3 linked regions of the Arabidopsis thaliana genome follow. The protein of the gene in region 2 purifies or fractionates together with the protein of the main gene of each other region. This does not show direct contact. Each region holds a gene or a part of one and is shown on either strand. Other genes may lie near its edges.

The links. The genes of interacting proteins can lie anywhere in the genome.
Region 1: the proteins of ELF4 (region 2) and TIC purify together in Arabidopsis thaliana (affinity purification with mass spectrometry, with the first as the bait; one study listed by BioGRID). This does not show direct contact.
Region 3: the proteins of ELF4 (region 2) and PHYE purify together in Arabidopsis thaliana (affinity purification with mass spectrometry, with the first as the bait; one study listed by BioGRID). This does not show direct contact.

What each region holds. Positions count from the first base shown.
Region 1 is NC_003074.8:7,911,341-7,918,915, forward strand, and holds the start of TIC (time for coffee), read left to right. Parts: upstream 1-1,564; 5' UTR 1,565-1,840; coding exon 1,841-1,940; intron 1,941-2,031; coding exon 2,032-2,571; intron 2,572-2,662; coding exon 2,663-2,862; intron 2,863-2,937; coding exon 2,938-3,232; intron 3,233-3,323; coding exon 3,324-3,627; intron 3,628-3,712; coding exon 3,713-3,752; intron 3,753-3,835; coding exon 3,836-3,931; intron 3,932-4,090; coding exon of another isoform or gene 4,091-4,093; coding exon 4,094-4,316; intron 4,317-4,421; coding exon 4,422-4,488; intron 4,489-4,582; coding exon 4,583-4,649; intron 4,650-4,731; coding exon 4,732-5,061; intron 5,062-5,148; coding exon 5,149-7,531; coding exon of another isoform or gene 7,532-7,539; exon of another isoform or gene 7,540-7,575. UniProt on the Arabidopsis thaliana protein: Regulator of normal clock function. Acts in the mid to late night. Contributes to the amplitude of circadian clocks. May act on the transcriptional induction of LATE ELONGATED HYPOCOTYL (LHY).
Region 2 is NC_003071.7:16,733,769-16,736,466, forward strand, and holds ELF4 (EARLY FLOWERING-like protein (DUF1313)), read right to left. Parts: upstream 1,145-2,698; 5' UTR 1,113-1,144; coding exon 777-1,112; 3' UTR 526-776; downstream 1-525. UniProt on the Arabidopsis thaliana protein: Component of the central CCA1/LHY-TOC1 feedback loop in the circadian clock that promotes clock accuracy and is required for sustained rhythms in the absence of daily light/dark cycles.
Region 3 is NC_003075.7:10,041,626-10,048,277, reverse strand, and holds PHYE (phytochrome E), read left to right. Parts: upstream 1-1,931; 5' UTR 1,932-2,329; coding exon 2,330-4,322; intron 4,323-4,429; coding exon 4,430-5,237; intron 5,238-5,322; coding exon 5,323-5,616; intron 5,617-5,722; coding exon 5,723-5,966; 3' UTR 5,967-6,141; downstream 6,142-6,652. Other genes in the region: SSP4b (SCP1-like small phosphatase 4b), read left to right, coding at 1-222, 302-639, 809-953, 1,532-1,560. UniProt on the Arabidopsis thaliana protein: Regulatory photoreceptor which exists in two forms that are reversibly interconvertible by light: the Pr form that absorbs maximally in the red region of the spectrum and the Pfr form that absorbs maximally in the far-red region.

The DNA.
Region 1 (7,575 bases), on a different chromosome or scaffold from region 2:
TTCCCATCTCAGCCGTTTAATCTTTTCTAAATCGAACGGTTCAGATCAACGGGTCGGGTGCCAACTCAACGCCTTTTTTAGTTTTTATTTTATTTTATGTTTTTTTTTTGGATGATGTTTTCTTCTGCCAAGTCAGATTGTTTAAAAACCAAAAATAGAAGAAAATAAAATACTAATATAATATAAAACGATCTAACGGTTGTGAGAGCATTTAGCTAATTGGCAACAAATGGTATTGGCCGTTGATTTGTAATTAATGAGTTAAATTATTTTAGACTATGGTAGGACCTGTTTCCTTACTTTATAGGTTTATTGTTTAGCTTACCTTCCCTAATAGAATTAAAAAAATCTAAAGGATATTATATGGTTTATTACTATTTTAGAAATATCCAAATATGACCAGATTTAATTAGTTTTATAGAAATTTATAGTTATGTCAATTTGACTAATCTAACCTAGGAATTATCAAGATTTAATTTCTCTTTTAGATTTTTTCATTATAAATTAAGAATGTTGATAAATTAGTAATTAAAAATGTGGTAGATACTTCCAATATTATTCTCCATATATTTTCATTTTTAATTATTAGATTCTAAGAATTTAAAAGATCAATTTTGCAAACCTGGCATATTTGAAAAGGTAAATTTAATTTAACAGCTTTTATTGCATGCACGTAAGAAATATCAAATAAATCAATAAGAAGGAAAGTAAATATTTGAATATTTATTTTCCATGAGTTGAAGAAAAAAAAATAGTTAGTGGCAAGTAAAAAACTATTTAGCCATTTGATCTTAATGGAGAAAAGTAAAAAAAAAAAAGATGAAGGTAGAGAAGTGGAACCTGATGTGATTAATATTACCGGTTGGATCGGTTTGTATAGGTGGTCACAAAGATTCCATTCTGATCGTAGATTGCCTTTACCAAGGTCTCTGTCTACCGGTAATAGCCGGTGATACATCTTCTCAAGACACATTTTGAATTTTAATAATTAAAATAACATCATATTTGTGCGTGTATATGTCAGTATTTTTGTTTTCTTTTCACACGAGTCATCGCGATTAGTGGACAACAGTACACTACCCCAGGAGCCTTTTTATTGCACAATATACTATTGATGATTATTTTTAGATTTAAATATTATTATCTTAATCTTTCCGACTTTCAATATATTTTATTGTTTTTTTATTTGTTTGTTTATTTCTAGACAGTGCAAAGTCAATAAAATATTGGTAGCGATAATATAGACGGAAGCGTGTGATGTCAAACTCTTGACACGTGGCAGCTTCTGTTTAATAACTGGTAACAGTCCAAAATAATTTTTTCACATGAATCCGACTCCGAAAATAATATTCTTTTAAAACCGAAAAATTAAATGTTATCAAATACTAAAATATCATAACAATAAGATATCATTTTTGAGTGGGTCCTACCTACGGATGCTGACTAATAAAATAATTAAAGAATACGTTTTTTAATTTAATAATAAAATAATAATCGGTGGTAAAATAATTAATAAAAGAAGAAATATCGGTTATTTATTATTATATGCGAGATCTCTTATAACGGAGGGCCAAGATTTTGTCACGCTGGTATATAGCGTATCGTGACCGTTGGATGTATTCACACCGACGGTGAAGATTGAGAAAATGTTTTACGGCAGGAGATATGAGCCGTGGATTTATTCGCTACTCTGCTTTTATGAGGAGCACAAATAAAGGAGATAATGGGAAGCAAGTAGAGAGATAGAGGAGAGAGAGTTTGATAAAGAGAGAGAAAAAGGGGTTGCGATTTGGGAGAAGAGAAATAGAGAGGAGAAGCATTAGAGAAGAAGAAGAAGAAGATGGATAGAAATAGAGAAGCTAGAAGAGTACCTATGGCGGCTGCCGGAAATGGTCTTTCCCGGCGGAGACATAGAGCCGGAAGTTTCAGAGATTCACCAGGTTTGTTTTTGAATCTCTTGATTTGGTTTGTTTTTCATCAGATCTGAGAGAAAACGTTTGGTTCTGATTTTTCTGAACGTTTTTTTCACAGAGGAGGAAGGTCCGGTGGAGTTACCGGAGGCGGCGAGGTTGAGAGATCGAGGAGGGAGTAATAAGAAGGATCGAGATCGGGAACGTGATAGAGACAGAGAGAGGGAAAGAGAAAGAGATAGGGAGAGAGATCGGTTAAATAGCCGGAGTAAACGGCGGAGAGGAGAACGCTTAATGATGGTTCACGGTAATCTAGACGACGGTGGCGACGATAGCTCGGAAGAGAGTGTCAACGACGATGAAGAATATGACGACGGAGGTGTAGGACCACCTTCTTCGTTGAAGATGCTTCCTCCGACGAGCAATAATATCTCAGCTGCATCGTTTTCATCGTCTCTATCAAATCATCACAACGGAGGTAGCGGTAATCTCCATCACCACCATCACAGCCACAACAATAACCATCAGAGGAAGAATAATTTTCCGCCGACGAAAGTTTTCAGATCGTCTCCTTCTCCGGCGCCGGTATCACCTCTTGTCTCGACGTGGAAAGCCGCCGACGAGATGATCGGTGTTTCGGTTCCTAGAAAAGCTCGGTCAGGTAGAGAGGTGGAAATTTACATTTGTAAACATATCTCTCGCTGATCTATCTCGATTCACAGTTCTTCTAATCTCTTCTTCGATTTTTGCAGCGTGTACGAAGAGACCTCATGAATCATGGGCGTCAAGTACTACCGGAGGTGGTGTTTTTGCTTCCGGTGAACAAATCCATCGGCAAATATCATCAACGTCTCCAGCTAATAGAGTTAGTCCGGCTTCGATTTTAGCATCTCCGTCTCCTCCTGCTCCTACGTCTCCTTCTTCATCAAGCATTTCCGTCAGGAAAAAATTGGTTAGTCTCTCAAAATTTACACTCAAATCTCTCCATCTCCATCTTCTTCTTTGACTAATATATTTTTGCTTCTAGCCGTCGGGGACGAAACAGAAGCCGTTACCGCCGAAGTCATCATCGAGTAAGTTATCATCGCCAGTGGCTGTACAAGACGAGATCGAGATCGAGATTGCAGAAGTGTTGTATGGTATGATGAGGATGCCTTCCACATCAAAACAAGAAGCAGCCGGTAACGATTTGACGGAGGCAGCGAAATCAACTGTAGAAGTCAAATCTCGAGTCTCTTCACCGATCTCAAATCCTCAGACTCTTCCTCAATCATCTATCACACTAGCTGCAAATTCTAGCTCCTCTAATGTTTCAGCCATCGGTAACATCCTCTCTCCATTCACAAATCGGAACGACTATTTTTGTTTTTTTTTTTCTTTTTTGCTCACTTTGTTTTACCATTTTCGCTTCAGCTCCTAAGAGAAAGAAGCCGAGACATGTCAAGTACGAAGACGATAACAGTTCACGCGTCACTACAATCAAATCCGAAGCCGAAGCTCCTTCAAAAAGTCAAGTTCCGTTCAGTAATCAACTAAAGAGCTCAGGATCCGGCGAAGGAAACAGCTCCGTATTGGATTCTATCATACCACTGACGAGAGAAAGCAACGCTTCGTTAGATTCGGAGAAAAAAGAGAACAATCTGTCAAAAGACGAAACAATATTGCCGAAAGTGGAATCTTCTTCAGGATTTAGATCCGATGGTGAAGGAGCTAAATCGTAAGCATTCAATCTATACATTCATTTTTTCTGGATTTTTTACCCAAGTTTTGGTACTGAATGTTTTTTGTTTTTAATCATGCAGGAGTTCGCCGGAAAAAGAGAAGTTTGAGATAGATCTGATGGTAAGTGTCAATAACATATATATTTTATTTTATTTTCCTTTTTTTTTGAAGTTCCGTACTAAATTAATTGTCCGTCGGTTCAGGCGCCACCGCCGGTGAGATCGTCGTCGGAGAGAGGCGGAGAGATGATGGAATGTGTGGCGGCAGAAGCTAAACCTAAAGTCACGGAAGTGGAAACGGTGAGTGGGGCCTACTTTTGTTTGGTAATATTGTGATAATTGGGGATATCCATCATTACTTTTTCATTTTTGCTTTTTTTGGCTCTCTTTTTCTTATCTTCATCTTTTTGGCTCCCTCTTTTTTTTAATTCTCTCCTGTGTCCACACTAATGCATGTAGCAGGAAGCAAAGCCTCTGCTTAAGGAAGATAGAAGTGATCCGGCGATTCATGATTCTCAGGAGAAGAAGAGACCTAGAATGGTTGCTGAAGCTGAACACCATAAGTTTGAGAGGAATTGTGAACTCAAACTCGACTTGGATAAATCTGATCATGTGGGTTTAGTAAACAAGCATCATGTTCAGAAACCGCCACCGCAACAGCAACTATCTGTTCCTGATAAAACTGGTAGGCCTTTTTCATCTTTCTTGAGATTCATTCTTCTTACTCTGACTGGACTAGTTTCGTTTTTTGTATACTGAATTAACTGGGCCTCTTTTTAAAAAATTCCAGCTCAAGCTAGCCATTTGCCTCTGCATATGTCTATGCCTGGCTGGCCTGGGGGCCTTCCTACAATGGGGTATGTTTTCTTTGTAATTTAAGCATGTGATACTTTTCCTAAGTCTCCTTTTTATTTTTTGGTTGTACTAATGTAAAACTCTGTGATTAAACAGATACATGGCACCTACACAAGGAGTTGTGCCTACGGATACCAGTTCCTTATCAGCTGCAGCAATGCAGGTAATTTTGATTGGATGTGCCATTCTAATATTTCTCTTTATATTTTTTTGCCTTTACTGATTTAAATTTTGGTCTTGTGCAGCCTCCACCTCATTTACTTTTTAATCAACCAAGGCCGAAGCGATGTGCTACACACTGCTACATTGCTCGGAATATTCAATCTCATCAGCAATTCACAAAGATGAATCCTTTCTGGCCTGCAGCAGCAGGCTCAGCTCCAATGTATGGGACCAAGGCCTGCAATCTCAGTCTTATGCCTCCCACAGAACTTCAGGGGAGTGTTTTGGGAAGAAGTTCCAACCCTGTTCAAGATAAGAATTCTCAATCTACGTCCAAAAGCTCAGAGACAGCTCAAAGAAATCAATTAATGCTTCAACAAGCTTTGCCTCCAGGAGCAGCTAATAGCATCTTGGTTAGTTTTTTTAGTCCATGTATCATGTTTCTCATCAGGTTTTGTCGTCCTTCTTATAAGCTGATTGTTTTTTTACTTTCATTGTAGCATGGTCCGACATTCATATTCCCCTTGGGCCAACAGCCTCACGCTGCCGCTACAATAGCTGCCGCATCTGTCAGACCTCCTAATAGTGGCATCACATCTTCTGGACCAACAGCTACTTCTACCTCCATGAATGGTTCTGCATCAGCTACTCCAGCTGGTGCCCCAACAATGAGCTTCAGTTATCCTGCCATGCCGGGAAATGAAACGCAGTACCTGGCCATTTTGCAGAATAACGGCTATCCATTTCCAGTTCCAGCACATGTTGGTGCACAACCTGCTTATAGAGGTGCTCCTGGGCAGCCGATGCCATTTTTTAATGGTTCATTCTATTCCTCCCAAATGATCCAGCCTCCACATCATCAGCCACAAAAGCAGCATCAGCAGCAGCTAACTGGTCAAATGCTCCAGAGCCATGCTCCTAACAACCAGAATGGGAGTGCTTCCACTGGTTCCTCAGCAGCTCAAAAGCATCTGCAGAACCAACAGTTGAGGCCACCGATTAATCATGGGAACTCTCAAGGATTTCCAACTCATAAAGTGCAATCGCAGCCTTTGAATTTTCAGCAGAGGCAGCAACCCAGAGAAAATGCTACTCAACATAGTGAGACTGTAGGGGAAGATAGCCCATCAACTGCTGATAGCCGGGGTTCTCGTTCCAATGTTGCCTATGGCCAGAACTATGGTATGCAAATGCAACCAACTAACTTGGGTTTGATGAGTTCCCCTGCCCCTGGTGGTGGGGTGGTTGGATCTTCGAGCAGTCATGGTGAAAAGAAATCACAGCAGCAGGTTTCAAAGGCTGGTGTAGAATCCTTCCAGTCACCGGGTTATGCTATGACTTTTGCGACGTTCAATGGGGCTAACACTGCTCCTACCCTAAACATGTCATCAATTGCTCAGAATCACGCTATGTTCCACAGCATGCCCGAAGCAGCAAGGCAAGGTTATCAGATGATGGCTGCTCAAGCAGCTCAACAAAAAATGAACTACGGTGCTTCACTAGAAGATGGAAAATCTGGGTCTATTGGTGGTGCTGCTACTGCTAATAATACCCCTGAGGAACAAAGGAAGTCAGGAGGAGGGGCAATAGGGAAAACGAGTGGTGGGAATGGTGGGCAGTCTATTGCTTTCTCTAACAAACAGGATTTAGCTGATGCATCTGTTTCTGCTGTCACGAGTGGTAGCATCGTTGATAGCTCATCCCGTTTACTCAACCTTGGTTCTGCTCTGCCACAGAGTTCGGGTTCTTTACCCACGTCTCATCATCAACAACTACTACAACAACAGCAGCAACAGCATATGCAACGGAGTCAATCGCAGCAACCTTATACCACCATGTACCTCCAGAAGCAGCAACGGTATGCAACTTCAGTGGCTGCTTCTGCTGCCAGAACCAAAGGGCCCGTGGTGAGTAACGGGAGTGGTTTCCCTGATCACAATATGACCACATCACCTGCGGGAACCACCAAGTTTGCAAATGCTAATTCAGGGTTCCCTCAAAACCTTGTCCAGTCGAGTAGCAATCAGGTTCAGTCTCAGCAGTGGAAAAACAATTCACCCAGGACAACAAATACTACCCAAGCTCAGTCTCCTTCGATGTTGTCGCCATCAACATCAGTTGCTGCTGCATCTTCGCTAAGAAACATCCCGCATAAACAGCAAAGCCGTCCCCAGCAATCGCAGATATCTTTTGCAGCAAACTCAAAACCAATGACTTCTGGTTCACCAATGCAGCAGGTACAAGGAGGAACCAACCACCAGGCTCCGTCTCCACCAATGTTAGTTGGGTCGCCTTCGACGTCGTCTGTCTCCAAAAATGCCAGCGGAAGCCCAAGAACAACTGCTTCTGCTTCCTCGGCGGCAAACAAAGGTGGACAAGCTTCCACAACTACTCACTCAGCATCTCAGCCGTCCAAGAACTTACAGCCTGCATCTGCGGCGTCATCTGCTGGTGGAAGGAATAATGGTCCTTCTGTTCTCGGAAACCCGACCACGAGCTCTGGATCCAAGTCGCAACAACAGCAGCAGTTGCCAAAGCATGGGCTGCAGCCGCAAGCACAGCTATTCTTCTCTAATCCTTATATGCAAGCTCAACATCAACATCAACAGCAACAGATCACCATATCTCCTTCTGGTGGGTATTACATCCAAAGACACCAGCAACAGTCAGGTTCAGCACCTGCTGTTCCAGTCACGGGAGCTGTCACCGCCACTTCAGATCCAGCGAAAGCCATAGCGGCTGCATCTGCAGCGAATAACATGAAAGGAGGTGGTGGTATGGGTAAAACTCAACAACATCAGCTTGGGCCTCCAGGGTTCACTAATGTTCACGCTGTTTCCTCTGCGGTTCAGGTCAAACCCGTGGATCAGAAGCAACAGGCGGGTGAGTGAAAGATCTTTAAAACTATTTTGTTTAGCATAAAAGAC
Region 2 (2,698 bases):
AGTGAAATCATAAATTTACTCAGTCACAGCAGAGCTAATCACTTTAAACCTCTTCATATGCCATTTTAATCCCAAAAAAAACTTATAGGTTTGATAGTTCATGTTTTGATATGAAATTGGCCATTTGTCCCCTTTCAAATAACTATGCTTCTTTTTAGTCCTTTTTGTGCAAAAGCTCTTTCGTCTTCTTAAGATCTTTGCTTTCTAGTGGTATATGAATGCCGAAATAGTTTGCCTGGGTTTTAGATCATGATCTCATGTATCAACATTTATTTTACTGCAGTTTCTGTTTGCTTTTTGATGGAAATGAATATTGTCACAACGTAGAAATTTTCTATGCTAGAGTTCTCTAATACACAGCCTAGTGAAAAGTCACTAGAAAACAACTGTATTTAACATGTCATACCAAATTGCATCACTATGTGACGAAATTACTTACTCCAAGTTGCAACAATCTAACCACAAGCCTTCATTTATTATCAAGGTCACATGAGAAAAGTCTCTAAATAGAATCAAACCAGAAGTAATCTAATACTGTATCAATTATTATTATAATCATTAGAGAGATTGCAGTAGAGACACATTGAAAAAGACTCAAAACCATAACTAAAATAACCCCAATAGAGATGGGTTTGCTCCCACGGATTATTCTAACGACAATCATCATTGCAATACAAAAACTAAACATTTACTTTATATCATAGCTTGAACCGGACAGATTCAAAATTCTCAAACCGGCCGGTCCAACTAAGAAGAAACAATTTGATTCCGGTTCATTAAGCTCTAGTTCCGGCAGCACCACCACCATCGTGACCGTTCTTCCCACCGTGAAAGCCCGACGAGAAACTAGTATTGAGATCAGAATACATGTTAACAACCTTGGAAATGTTTCCGTTGAGTTCTTGAATCAAAGCAACGTTCTTCGACATGTTATCAGCCATTCTCGATTGGTGATTGTCGTTGACTTGTTGAATCAGTGATCTGTTTCTGTCTAAAACTGATTGCACTTGTCTGAAATTCCGGTCAAGATTCTCCCACATCGCCGGATCCTCTCCCTGCTCTGCCTCCTCCGCCACGTTCCTCCGCCGTTTCGTCTCGCCGTTCCTCTTCATAATAATTTTTAATTGTGTTTTTCTCTCTTTTTGATTTTCGTCAAAGTCGAGAGAAATCAGATATTTATAGTAAATATCTTCTGAGTAGAATCGGACACCGAGGCGAGTAAGTTCTGTTTCATCACCACTTGATTAACAAGAGCGTGTATCTCACGTAGACGTATCTATCTGATATCAAAGAACACGCGCGTGAGTGAAGCTGTGAAGTGATTGGGTAGAGGAATAAAAAGTACATATCTTTTTATGCACTTTTCTTGGATTTATTTTTAATTAAACCATGGAGAGAGATAAGGATCTTATTGTAGAAATATCTAAAGATATTTATTGTAAAGTGAATATAAAGTAAAATATGAATAAAATAGGGAAAAAGGTATATGGTGTACGACTTGCCACGGTGCAGCAGGAACCAAATTCCTATACGCATGATCTCATGTTTAATGAATTGTAGTGTTTCACATCTAATTAGTTCCAAGTTTAGATAAACATTACAAAGAGTGTTAGATTCTTTAGAGAACAAACAAGAAGAAGAATCTCTAAGAAACTTTCTTTAGTTAATTCCAAGCTTCATGTTATGCAAGACAAGAGCTACAATAATCCGCAAGATATTTTTTTGTAGTATGATCAGAATTTGGTTCCCGGAACCTGGGCACTAACTACCAAAATCAAAATTCCAAAGAACCATAGTGAAACCATGATTCTCCTCCCAACTTTTTCTTCCATTACAAAGAACAAAACTTTATTTCACTTTTTTTGGCCCTTCCCTTTCGACTGTTATATATGATACAATCATCCTATAATGATAATGATTAAGATGATGAATTGCATAAATGATTCTAAAAATCATGAGTCATGACAATGGTGATGCACAAACAACTCGATGCTGAGAAGCAATAAGAGTATAGGGACCTCAATTCATTTCAGTCACCAATGAGTAATGATGAAAAACATTTAATTTATTTTTGGCAATACAGTTCTTAACCGCAACATTTTCCAAACTGTTTCACAAATGAATCCACTAACTGGAAAAACATGTGCCAGATTTTACTTAGAACGACCTTTTATGACACAATGCAATCTTGCAATAAGAGCTAAATGCGCTAAAACTTAAGCTGGCTTCTCAAAGATAAAGAAGCAGATAGGAAAACCAATAGAAATGGTAATTCTGCAACATCTAAATGGGTTGGTAAGTGGAAAGATTCAGAAGTGGACTCACAATGGCTCTAACTTGAATCCAAGTTCATAGAAGTACGAGTGGTAATCTTTATTACTACCATTCATATTGAATGCTTATTTGGTGAATACCCATAAATGAAGCAATGTCACCTTCTCGAGATATATGGGAATAAGGTTCAAATTCGTCGCAAATGTAATGTTTCTCGACCATTATGCGTTACTTGCGAAAACCATTGTCAAGGTAAAACATTTACGATAGACAACTGCATATTATATGTTATGTGGAATGTGTTTGATTCTTCCTTCAAAAAAACTTGTAATTTCTCTTTTAGTAGACTTATTGATCTGTTAAGGGTTGGCTTTGATGATTTAGAGTGATAAAGATAATTACCGCAGGAAATCATGAGGGGCAG
Region 3 (6,652 bases), on a different chromosome or scaffold from region 2:
TTAAGTCTGATGAGGATAACAGGATTAATCGGTCAAGATCAAAAAACTTGGAAGCAGCAGAGAATCACACTGAAGCTGAACAAACTGAAGATTTTGATCCACAGATTTTCTTAAGAAATCAACCAGAATTAGCTGATGTGGTATTCAATTATTTCCCGGATATGCAGCAGCCTAGGGACTCTCCGAAAAGGAAGGCGGTAACCCTTGTTCTTGATTTGGATGGTATGATATGAACCACTTGGTTAAGTTTTGCCTCCATGGTACAACCACACTTACTAATCATCTTTAAATGACATTGCAGAAACTCTGGTCCATTCGACTCTGGAAGTCTGTAGAGATACAGACTTTTCCTTCAGAGTCACTTTCAATATGCAAGAGAACACTGTTTACGTGAAACAAAGACCATACCTTTATAGGTTCTTAGAGAGGGTGGTTGAACTTTTTCATGTTGTCATCTTCACGGCTAGTCACAGCATCTATGCGTCTCAGCTTCTAGATATATTGGATCCAGATGGGAAGTTTGTATCGCAACGTTTTTACCGGGATTCATGCATTCTTTCAGATGGTATTTATACCAAGGATTTAACCGTTTTGGGTCTTGATCTAGCAAAAGTGGCTATAGTTGACAACTGTCCACAGGTATTTTCTAAAGGATTCACTTCACTACCTTTGTTTCATTAATTTTTGCTTTTACCTTAGTCTCAGTGATAGACACCACAAGCAAATCGAATTTCAAAGAACGATAGTTACAGTGCAGAATTTGTAGTTTAGTTGAGTATTACATGGACCCTCATTGTTCTTGTTTCAGGTGTACAGATTGCAAATAAACAATGGGATCCCTATTAAAAGTTGGTATGATGATCCAACTGATGATGGTCTGATTACATTACTTCCCTTCTTAGAGACATTGGCTGATGCCAACGATGTTCGTCCTGTCATTGCCAAGAGATTCGGTAACAAGGAATAAGAAATCTCTTCCTTTTGTTTCCACTATATCTTGATTGCAGATTCTGGGTTTCTTTAACAGATTTAGTCATAGACTAGTTTAGTTCCTCAAGACTTCTTAGGTGCTATTTAATTAGTGAACCATAGAATAATGCTCGGTGATATTAGTACACAAGTAAAGCGTAACCCTTGTTTTAGCCAGGATAATAGATCATTGAAATCTTAAGTGTTCTAAATGTACAGTTGGTGAAGCTGAGATACTGAATGTATAAAAGTGAGTAACTATTGAGTGAAATATCAGTTTTGGAGGTTAACAACAGCCATTATCTCCTTGTGGTAAATTCAAACTGTTGGTTAGATCTTTGTACTACTGCATTGTCAGTAATATAAATGAAGAGAGGTTCAATCTGGAACCTTCTTTTTCGTGAATTTATCGAATTTTCTAGCTTCTGTGGTCTTTCATAAAGGAGGAATATCGTATATGGGCGCCCGGATCTGGTGGTTCTGTGGTATTATAATAAGCTATTTAATCTATAACTCTCAGTAAAAGTTTCATGATTCTGTTGGCATGGTCCTTATTGTGCAGATCATTCAACAAGAAGTTCTTTTGATTAGGCGTAAGGAAGTGACCTGACTATTGTTCTTCTCTGTGTTAACTTGACTCTTAAGGTTTTGTCTAAGGTCTTAAGCTCCCTGACAAACTTGCCAATATGTACATCTTTACAATGTTAACTTGTTTTCATTAACATTTGATAGTCATATATTCTTGTTACTAGTTAATAAACCTGTCAGAAGAATCATATTTTCTAACATTGGTTCTTATGAACCAAGAAAGTCATTGATTTCTTACATAACATCAGTCGTTTAGATGCTTTGGAGATTGCTTTTGGTAACTCTCGACTAAACATAGTTTCAAATTTGGCTCAAAAGAAACTTTGTTTTTTTTTCAGAAGTATGAGGACATTATCAAAGTTGAAAGTTTTGACCAAAATATGTTGAAATTTTGAAGGTCTATTAAATTTGAGAAAGACATTAGCCATTTCTTCAATAGATTCAGAGTAACAAAAAAATACTTATTCCATGGAACTTTTTTATTCACAAAAATAAAGCAATTTAAGAAAAGGGAAAAAAAATGAAAGTGAATCGGTGGTGGTCACCGAACAAGCTGTACGTGTGGGAGAGAATGCAAACAGAGTAGCAAAAAAAAAGCATTGAAGGAAGCAAAACAAAACATGAAAAGAAGAATCTTGAGGTAAAAACGAATCCCAAATATCAAAAAGGAAACTTTTTTTACTTCTTTCTTTCTCTTGCTGCAAATGATACAGAATCAGCTTCTTCTTCTTCTTCTTCTGGTCGAAACTCACTCCACACTTTCCCCTAAGCTATGGGATTCGAGAGTTCAAGCTCAGCTGCAAGCAACATGAAACCTCAACCTCAAAAATCCAACACTGCTCAATACTCTGTTGATGCTGCTCTCTTTGCTGATTTCGCTCAATCCATTTACACCGGCAAGTCTTTTAACTACTCCAAATCTGTTATTTCACCTCCCAATCACGTTCCTGATGAACACATCACAGCTTACTTGTCTAACATCCAAAGAGGCGGTCTAGTTCAGCCCTTTGGTTGTTTGATTGCTGTCGAAGAACCTAGTTTTAGGATACTTGGTCTTAGTGACAACTCTTCTGACTTTCTTGGTTTGTTGTCTCTTCCTTCCACCTCCCATTCTGGTGAGTTTGATAAAGTCAAGGGTTTGATTGGAATCGATGCAAGGACGCTTTTTACTCCTTCCTCTGGAGCTTCTTTGTCTAAAGCTGCTTCCTTTACTGAGATTTCCTTGTTGAATCCTGTTTTGGTCCATTCTAGGACGACCCAGAAGCCTTTTTATGCTATTCTTCACAGGATTGATGCAGGGATTGTCATGGATTTGGAGCCTGCTAAATCAGGTGATCCGGCTTTGACCCTTGCAGGCGCAGTTCAGTCTCAGAAGCTAGCCGTTAGGGCCATTTCTAGGCTGCAGTCACTTCCCGGAGGAGATATTGGTGCCTTGTGTGATACTGTTGTGGAAGATGTTCAGAGACTTACCGGTTATGACCGTGTTATGGTCTATCAGTTTCATGAAGATGATCATGGTGAAGTTGTTTCTGAGATTAGAAGGTCTGATTTGGAGCCTTATTTGGGTTTACATTATCCGGCAACAGATATTCCTCAGGCTGCTCGGTTCTTGTTCAAACAGAACCGTGTCCGAATGATTTGTGACTGCAATGCAACTCCGGTTAAGGTTGTTCAGAGTGAGGAACTCAAGAGACCACTTTGTTTAGTTAATTCTACTCTAAGAGCTCCTCATGGCTGCCATACGCAGTATATGGCGAATATGGGCTCTGTAGCTTCTCTTGCACTCGCAATTGTAGTAAAAGGCAAAGATTCGAGCAAGCTTTGGGGATTAGTTGTTGGTCATCATTGTTCTCCTAGATACGTTCCATTCCCGTTGCGGTATGCTTGTGAGTTTCTGATGCAAGCATTTGGGCTTCAGCTTCAAATGGAACTTCAGTTAGCATCACAGTTAGCCGAGAAGAAGGCTATGCGGACGCAGACCTTGTTGTGCGATATGCTTCTCCGTGATACTGTTTCCGCTATTGTTACACAATCTCCGGGTATTATGGACCTTGTGAAATGTGATGGAGCTGCGTTATATTACAAGGGGAAATGTTGGTTGGTTGGTGTTACTCCTAATGAGTCACAAGTTAAAGACTTGGTGAATTGGCTGGTGGAGAATCACGGTGATGATTCGACGGGTTTAACCACTGATAGTTTGGTGGATGCGGGATACCCTGGTGCCATCTCACTTGGAGATGCCGTTTGTGGTGTGGCTGCCGCAGGATTTTCTTCAAAAGATTACTTACTTTGGTTCAGGTCCAATACTGCAAGTGCAATCAAATGGGGAGGAGCTAAACATCATCCAAAGGATAAAGATGATGCCGGAAGAATGCATCCGAGGTCATCGTTTACAGCCTTTCTTGAAGTTGCGAAGAGCAGGAGCTTGCCGTGGGAAATCTCAGAAATTGATGCTATCCATTCCCTGAGACTTATAATGAGAGAGTCATTTACCAGCTCTAGGCCAGTTTTGTCTGGTAATGGCGTAGCAAGAGATGCTAATGAGCTTACTTCTTTTGTGTGTGAAATGGTTAGGGTGATTGAAACCGCAACTGCACCTATTTTTGGGGTTGATTCATCCGGATGTATTAATGGTTGGAACAAGAAAACCGCTGAAATGACGGGATTACTAGCTAGTGAAGCAATGGGGAAGTCACTTGCCGATGAGATTGTTCAAGAGGAATCACGCGCAGCTCTTGAAAGTCTCTTGTGCAAAGCCCTACAAGGTTATATGAAAGAAGATTTTCTCCATACAAATTTCATGTTATGAGCTTTATCAACTAACAAAACAATGATATGTTGTGTTGTAACATTGATATGTTGTGTTGTTCAGGTGAAGAGGAGAAAAGTGTAATGCTGAAACTGAGAAAGTTTGGTCAAAACAATCATCCGGATTATTCTTCTGATGTGTGTGTTCTCGTTAACTCCTGCACGAGTCGGGATTATACTGAAAATATCATCGGTGTCTGCTTCGTTGGTCAAGACATCACTAGTGAGAAAGCAATAACAGATAGATTCATCAGATTGCAAGGAGATTACAAGACTATTGTTCAAAGCTTAAATCCTTTGATTCCACCGATATTTGCTTCAGATGAAAATGCTTGTTGTTCTGAGTGGAACGCAGCAATGGAAAAGCTTACGGGATGGTCAAAACACGAGGTGATTGGGAAAATGCTACCCGGTGAAGTCTTTGGAGTCTTTTGTAAAGTGAAATGCCAAGATTCGCTCACAAAGTTCTTGATCTCTCTGTACCAAGGAATTGCTGGTGATAATGTTCCCGAGAGTTCACTGGTTGAGTTCTTTAATAAGGAAGGGAAGTACATAGAAGCATCCTTAACCGCGAACAAGAGTACAAACATCGAAGGAAAAGTTATAAGATGTTTCTTCTTCTTGCAGATTATCAATAAGGAATCGGGGTTGAGCTGCCCAGAACTGAAAGAGAGCGCTCAAAGCCTCAACGAATTAACTTACGTAAGACAAGAAATCAAGAATCCTCTCAACGGTATCCGATTTGCACATAAGCTTCTTGAATCCTCAGAGATTTCAGCTAGCCAAAGGCAGTTTCTGGAGACTAGTGATGCTTGTGAGAAGCAAATCACGACAATAATCGAAAGCACGGACTTGAAAAGCATTGAGGAAGGGTAAAGCATAACGTTTTGAATCTTCACCTACTGAAGTTTTTACATTTTGAATCTGAAAAACAAATGTTTTCTTTTATGAGATCAGCAAGTTGCAATTGGAAACAGAAGAGTTTCGACTTGAAAACATCTTGGACACAATCATTAGCCAAGTGATGATTATATTGAGAGAGAGGAACTCACAACTAAGGGTTGAAGTCGCCGAGGAGATCAAAACTCTGCCTCTCAATGGTGACAGAGTCAAGCTCCAGCTTATTCTTGCTGATCTTCTACGCAACATTGTGAATCATGCGCCGTTTCCAAATAGTTGGGTAGGTATCAGTATCTCACCAGGGCAGGAGCTTTCACGTGACAATGGTCGCTATATCCATCTACAGTTCAGGTAAACGTCAACAGAAACAACTGAAAACAACTTCTTTTCACAATGCAGCCGTTTTGCAGATTTTGATGGTTTTTAACTTAAAACGTTCGATGTTGTTTTATGATAGGATGATACATCCGGGGAAAGGACTTCCTTCAGAGATGCTAAGTGATATGTTTGAGACTCGAGATGGATGGGTCACCCCTGATGGTTTAGGGCTTAAGCTTTCGCGGAAACTATTGGAGCAGATGAATGGCCGTGTGAGTTATGTCCGAGAAGACGAACGGTGTTTCTTTCAGGTGGATCTTCAAGTGAAGACAATGTTAGGTGTTGAGTCAAGAGGAACAGAGGGTAGTTCAAGCATAAAGTAGAAATTTTGAGTTACAAGGCTTATAAAATTTAATGAAATTTGGTCTCTTACCAAATGTATTAATTAGAACAAAGGTACATTATTTATTACCACCAATAAGATTGTATCTTAACTATCCTATGTATACAATTTGGAGAGATCATTTGGCCAACCAGACAAAAGTAAAACACAACCATCAATTCACATGTCTAGAACAATAATTCTTTCTAATTCTGGATACCAGCAAACTAGAAGGAACTGAGAAAACCAGAAATGTTTCTAAAGGGTACTATGTAGTAGTTTGTTGTTGTTCATCATCATCTCATCCTAGAAACTGATATTTACGTTTTAAACCAGAGGCAATAACGTGATTCACTTGACTGTCAGCTTTGATGTGTGTTCTCGCCGACAAGAGGATGAGAAACCGTTGAATTTGATGCCTCGAGCTGCGAATTCTCCCGGATGATCTAGTTTCAAATAGACATGTATGAGTCAACCAGTTCATCAGATAAACACAGAAAAGATAAATGATCATTTTAAGATCATGTGTTTGTTGTAAGAGATTGTTTACCGGATATTTAGATTCTGATCCATCAAAGACAATAGGTTGGCATCTCCTATCTTCATTCATCAAACTTGAGTTCTGAAAGTGAGCAATAAGCGCAGCTTTACCTTGGATTCGTGCATAAGCCAATGAAGCAACTTTCT